Linked DNA regions of Nothobranchius furzeri. The protein of the gene in region 2 purifies or fractionates together with the protein of the main gene of each other region. This does not show direct contact. Links are inferred from orthologs where the notes say so. Each region holds a gene or a part of one and is shown on either strand. Other genes may lie near its edges.

What was found. The genes of interacting proteins can lie anywhere in the genome.
Region 1: the proteins of ube2m (region 2) and cops6 purify together in Homo sapiens (affinity purification with mass spectrometry; 3 studies listed by BioGRID and IntAct, counting the BioPlex papers as one, with this or other methods). This does not show direct contact. The link is inferred for Nothobranchius furzeri from reciprocal best matches to the Homo sapiens genes UBE2M and COPS6.

What each region holds. Positions count from the first base shown.
Region 1 is NC_091741.1:79,983,924-79,987,370, reverse strand, and holds the end of cops6 (COP9 signalosome complex subunit 6), read left to right. Parts: intron 1-536; coding exon 537-599; intron 600-675; coding exon 676-723; intron 724-814; coding exon 815-929; intron 930-1,615; coding exon 1,616-1,708; intron 1,709-2,035; coding exon 2,036-2,136; intron 2,137-2,542; coding exon 2,543-2,683; 3' UTR 2,684-2,947; downstream 2,948-3,447. UniProt on the Homo sapiens protein: Component of the COP9 signalosome complex (CSN), a complex involved in various cellular and developmental processes.
Region 2 is NC_091745.1:29,846,255-29,849,754, reverse strand, and holds part of ube2m (NEDD8-conjugating enzyme Ubc12), read right to left. Parts: intron 2,825-3,500; coding exon 2,721-2,824; intron 2,096-2,720; coding exon 2,032-2,095; intron 1-2,031.

The sequences.
Region 1 (3,447 bases), on a different chromosome or scaffold from region 2:
ATCGGAGAGAGCGAGTGGGAGTGACAATGTGGAGGAGATTAGAAAGATATGGGGGAGCAGAGATTATGGATGGCTTTAAAGGCATGAAGAAGGCATGAAGTCAATTCTGTACTTGACAGGGAGCCAGTGAAGGGGTAATGTGATCAAAAGTGGAGGTCTTGGTGATTATCCGGGCAGCTGAATTTTGGACTAACTGTAACTTGTTGAGTGATTTTAGAATACAGGTCAGTTCATTAAGCCAATCAGTAAAATGTTTCCTGTATAAGGAACCTAGCAGATTGCATCAAGTCACTGACTAGTGTCAGTGACTTTACAGCAATCCTTATACTAAGCAAGCATAAAGCGACAGTGGAGAGGAAAACTCCCTTTTAACAGGAAGAAACCTCCAGAGAATCCTGGCTCAGTATAAGCAGCCATCCTCCACGACTCACTGGGGATCGAGAAGACAGAGCAGGCACACACACACACACTCATGAGTTTTGTTATTAATAAGTGTTTATAATACTTTTGTTGTATACGTGTGTGTTTGCTGCCAGGTGTGTGAGATCATTGAGAGTCCACTCTTCCTGAAGCTCAACCCAATGACCAAACACACTGACGTAAGTTTATCCTCGGTGCATCGGTGAAGCAGCAGCAATCAGACGGGTTTTAAAAAGTGTTTCCTTTCTCCTTCAGCTTCCTGTTAGTGTTTATGAATCTGTGATTGACATCATCAGTGGCGAGGTACGTCCTGCTCAGTTGAAAAACTTCTTTTCACAATAATTTTGTTCTCTACTAACATTTCTGTGTGTGGTTTTCTTTTGTTGCCACCCAGGCTACCATGTTGTTTGCTGAGCTGACTTACACTTTAGCCACAGAGGAGGCAGAGAGAATCGGTGTTGATCATGTAGCTCGAATGACAGCCACCGGCACCGGAGAAAACTCCACAGGTGAGGAGAACAAGCCAGGCCAAACAGGGATCTAATTCAGTATTTATTTATTTTGTTTGATTTGTTAGTCTGTGTTTATGACTCTGTTACTTACACCAAGTTTAGCTCAATATCTGTAAACTTCACTAAGTTACATCCATCTTCGTGTTTGCTAACGTTGATTAGCTGTGACGGCCATCTTTAATGGACTCTAAAGCTAATTTAATTGTAAATACACATCAGAGTTTCGATAAAACCCACCATGTGGGTCATGAGATGCTTTGAGAGACGAATACACACCAGCAGCTGGTTCAGAGTCAAGGCGAGTGAGGAAGAGGCAGGTTGTTAGTCACCACTCTGATGTGTCTGATGTCAAAGTCCCATTAGTTGTCACACACACAGGTGTGTGTGCGACATTTGTTCTCCGCATTTGACCCATCCCCTGGGGGGAGCGGTGAGCAGTAGACACAGCCGCGCTCGGGAACTATTTGGTGGTTTAACCCCCCAATCCAACCCCTTAATGCTGAGTCTCAAGCAGGGAGGCATTGGGTCCCATTTTTTCAAAGTCTTTGGTATGACCCGACCGGGAATCGAACCCTGATCTCCCAGTCTCAGGGCGGACACTCTACCACTCGGCCACTGAGAAAGGTTATTCTAACTGACTGTGTTTGTTTTTAATGTGTTTATTGTTCTCTTTCCTCTGTCAGTGGCTGAACACCTTATAGCTCAGCACAGCGCAATAAAGATGCTCCACAGCCGAGTGAAGATAATTCTAGAATACGTCAAAGCCGTCGAGGCAGGTGAGAGACACGTTTATGAGGCTCCGAGGGGAAAAATGTCTCAATACATCAGTTAAGCAGCTGTTCTCACTAGGTTCTTCCCCTCTTGTCTTCACACACACACACACACACACACACACACACACACACACACACACACACACACACACACACACACACACACACACACACACACACACACACACACACACACACACACACGTACAAGCCCTTTTGTAAATAAACATGATCCCAACACATTATTATATGCTTTTTAAGTTATTTTTCCTGTGTGTGCATGCATGTGTGTGTGTGCATGTGATGCGTGTGTGTTTGTGTGTGTAACAGGAGAGGTGCCGTTTAACCACGAGATCCTTCGTGAAGCTAACGCCCTCTGCCACAGACTGCCGGTCCTCAGCACCATAAAGTTCAAAACGGATTTCTATGACGTGAGTAAACTTGGTTGTAATTCAGAAATATTCATGTTTCATGACTAGATTTTTAGGTTTTTTAGAAAAAGCGCAAAGATTTAGTTAATGAACACCTATTTATGAGTTTTAAAATGAACACTGAGCTAAATGTTGATGTAGAAAGAGTACAGGAGAGCACGGAAATTATTAGAAGCTATTTATTCCTATAATAGAGAAAAATGAGCCTAAACCTGGGTAAAGCTCAAAGCAGCAGGGCAAACATGGGGCTGTCGTTGTGTTTATTTAATGTGAGTAAGAAAAAGAGATTTTCAGGTTTGTTTTCTACCATCTAAACATGACGCTGGCTGTTTGTGAGCAAAATATCAACATTTATGTAAGCAAAAGTCCAGATTTGATATGTTCCTATTTCCCCTTGATCCTGCAGCAATGTAATGACGTGGGCCTCATGGCCTACTTAGGCACCATCACCAAGACTTGCAACAGTATGAACCAGTTCATCAACAAGTTCAACGTCCTGTACGACCGGCAGGGCATCGGCCGAAGGATGAGAGGACTTTTCTTTTGAGCTGAGAGACAAAAACGCACCAACTCCTCCACCTTCTTCTTTGTTTTTTTGTTTGGTTGTATTTTGATGAGCTAAAAGAAACTCTTACGCAGCTTTCCCCCACAAAGTTCAACAGCGAGTGTATCTCAGAGCACACGATTCAATAGTCAATCCATACAAACTCTTTTAACTCTCTGGGTCACTGTACATGGACTTGATCTAATTTTACTCCGTTTGTTTTACTGTTTCTGTAATAAATGATCTTGTTTTTTTTTTTTCATGGAACCTCGTGTCTGTTGTTTGAATGCATTAATAAGAAAACACACATGGTGGTAATAACACAGCTGCAGGTTTAAAGGAGCTCATGAAAGCTTCGCTACGTGGAGCTGCAGCTCTAGCAGCTTTAGTGTTTGTTGCTAACTCATCGTTTTGTTGTGTTTTTGAACTCGTCCTCCTGCTGCGTGATTTTTGCCCGTGGAGGTTTTGAGACAGACATGCATGTGTGGCAGGAAAAATGAGGTTCAGAGCTTCCAACGGAGTCAGCAATTACTGGAGTGTTTAATGCAAAGCAGCAGCGGATGTAATGACCTGTGAGTTGGAACTTTACGAGTCCCAACTTAAACCCGAGAGGATCCAACCCTTTGGGTCTCCTCTTGCATTTTTCATTAAGTCAAAAACTCCACTGATTTCACTCATCTTTTTTTTTTATTGGCTCACAACTTAAACATAATTTGCACATCAGTGAATCAGGTGATGATAAATACAGTCAGGTGTGTTTTTATTCA
Region 2 (3,500 bases):
AGTTAATGTCCATCCCTGCTTTCATTTCTCCACCTCACCCACAGGTACCTCAACTTCTGCTTCTGTGAAATAGAGCTTCCTTGATCTGCCTTGATCTACGGTCGCCATGTCATTGGCGGAGCGCTGCAACAGCCGGCTTATGTGTATGCATGAGGTCCACAAGGCACTTTGCATTGACTATTTATGGCAGTAAGTGGGCGTGGTGAGGGCGGGATGTGACTAAAAAGCAGCTGAGAAACATTCCCGTTAGTCTCTGATTTATGAAGCGGAGATTGAGTGCAGCTGTGCGTCCTCCATGTTTGATAGGTCACACACCTGCTTGGCGTAAGTACATTTGTTTTGCTGAGCTTAAGTACGGTTTTAGTAAGGATTCTACGCCATGTTTGATAAATGAGACCCCAGCTCATTATAACAGCCTTCCCACGCAGGTGCGCAACAGGTAAATAACAATCGATAGACACCACGTGATCCGAGACTACTCCTATCCATCACAGCGACTTGTTAATTTTACAGTCCTTCTAATGCTTTGGTTTTCGGTTTCGGCCAAGGATTTTCATTTCGGTACATCCCTACAAAACATCAAAGCTGAAATGCAACGTTTACAAAATTATAAAACAAAGAAACTAAATCACTGAAGAGGCGTTTTCTTAGGTGGAACATAGAAGTAATAATATCTGGGCAAAGGAGGTCAAACATTTTTCTAATTATAGGTTATTAATTTACACACAAGCTATACTGATGAATGTTCAACTCAAGTTATACAAGAACACAAGAAGGCAATAAAAACAAACAAAAAAAGGGAAGATATTTACAGATAATAATAGTGATCATCATCATAATAATAACTCACTATTCACCTCAAAAATCCTGGTATAATTATTCAGCAGCCACAGTTATACTTTGACTTGAGCTTGTCACTACACTGGAGTTCGCTTAGCTCCATCTGGAGGTTGGTTGGTGTGCTTTCCACGTCACCCGCAAACATTACTGAGCAGTCAGAGCCTCCATTTTTGGGCTAGTAAGAGGAGGATCTTCAGTTTCTCCATCACTGAGGAGGTACGGCTGCAGATGTCGACGCTGGTAGCACGGACGCTAATGACTATAAACAGAAAAGGAGGGGGTGCTTCGACTGACGTCGCTAACGTCACAAAGCATTCTGGGATTTGTAGTCTTTGTGGTAAATGCACCAAATTTAAATAGACCACAAGCCAGATTTGACCCGAGGGCCCGAGTTTGACACTTGTGCCTTTGAGAGCAAAGGTAGGCACAGTTTATGATTAAATATTACCGTTGGCACTATTGACATGTAATTGATCTTAAATATGAATTTTTTTTCATCAGCCTGAATTTATACGGGGAAATAAAACAATCAATTTCAGTAAAACTCCATCCGCTCTGACAAAACGCACCTTCTGTATGTCAGCATCTTAGGCTTCAGCATTTTAAAGTTAAAGTCATCATCACACACTGGTGAAACTACATCTCTGCATCTGACCCATCCCTGTGGGGAGCGGGGAGCTGCAACTGTGTCAAGACCAGACCAGATTCAGGGGGAGGAGAGATGCCTGATGACACAAGTGGGCTACTTTCTCCTGGACGCAGGACAAATCTTTACATGGACAAAGTTGAAGCTGAGGCAGGAAAAGGCATGAATGCAACCAAAAAGGGTTTGGGGAGTATTTCTCATGAGGAAATGCCAATATCACATGGTAACAAGCTCCAAAAAGTGGATTTTCAAGGATCTGGCCCCTTTAAAAGACAAAAGAATCACAGAACCACAAATAGCAAGAAAGACTGGCTGCTGGGAAGGAAAACAGATAGGTGGGGATTGGATCAAGAGTTCTGGACCAAAACTGGGATTCTGACGAGAATGCGGAACCAGCTTTTAAATTTCCCAGCCTCTACTTGTTCTTTTGCATTCTCATTATTTTTACTGACAGTGAATTATATTTTAATTTTGATGCTAGAAGTCATTCCCTCACAGAGACTCTGACTTTAAACAAACAGTGAAAGAATCAGAGTTTAACTCACTAGAAATAGATACTGTAGACCATAGATGATGGAGTTTATTGTCAACACGGGCTTCCAGTCCTCTCTGTGGATGACAACCAGAGACACAAACAAACAAAATCCTCGTCAACTTTGTGTTTAATTAAGTCCTCGTCTTTAAAATCCACTTAGATTTAAGGCTTCTATGACAGAAAAAACACTGAAATCTTTCATGGTAATTGGTCTGTATTTGATATAGCACCTTCTAGGGTTCTACAACCCCCCAAGATGCTTTACAACACAACCAGTCATTCACCCATGCACACACACACTCCCACGCTGGTAGTACAGAGCTAAACATTGGCCACAGCTTCCCTGGACCACACTGACAGAAGCGAGGCTGCTGAGCACAGGCACCACTGGTCCCTCTGACCACCAGCATCAGGCAAGGAAGGTTAAGTGTCTTGCCCAAAGACACGACTGTGACAGAGCAGACCTTGTATCTGCAACCCTCGGGTTACGGGGCCAGCACCTAACCCCTCTGCCACGGTCTGTATCATTTTCTGTTTCAAAGGCTCTCTGATGCTGCTACAAGTTGAGCCAATCAGGAGATTTCTGTTATAACCATTGATGTTGTTAAACCAAATGTATGTAAATCAAGCTCCCGTTGGTTCACATGATCCACCGGGCCTTAAATAAACCTTAACCTCAGACGACACACAGAGACAGACCTTAAGATATTTAAGCAGACGTTTCCCTCCAGGTCGATGTTGGGATGATACACCATCGTCTCACACTTTACCTTAGGGGGGTCATGGGGATAACCCTGTCCTACCTGGAACACACAAATGTAAGTTAAAAAATCTATATCAGTTATAAAAAATGAATATACACTACCTAGCCCCAAAAAGGTGGCCACCTGGATTTAAGTAAGCAAAGAGGCACAGGCCTCCAGCAACAAGTTATTTAACCCCAACTGGTGCACTGAGTTGCTTCTCATTTCTTCAACAACCATGTGGAAAGACACCTCTGGTGGTCGTGGAAAAGATGTTAGTCTGTTTGAGAAGGGTCAGATCATTGGCATCAAGCAGAGAAAACATCTGAAATTGTCGAAACGACTACAATGGGTAAAGAACTGTCCAACGCTTTATTAAAAACTGGTCTGATGAGTCCAGATGGACCATGTTCCAGAGTGAGGGTGCATCAGGGTAAGAAGAGAGGCAGATGAAGTGATGCACCCATCGTGCCTAGTGTCTACTGTACAAGCCTGTGGGGGAAGTGCTATGATATGGGGTTGCTGCGGTTGGTCAGGTCTAGGTTCAGCAACAGGATGTACTCTAAGAATGTGGTCAGCTGACTACCTGAATATACTGAATGACCAGGTTATTCCATCGATGGACGTTTTCTTCGGGCATATTCCAAGATGACAATGCCAGGATTCATTCAGGCTCAGATAGTGAAAGAGTGGTTCAGGGAGCATGAGACATCTAGCCTAGTGAACTAGACCAAAT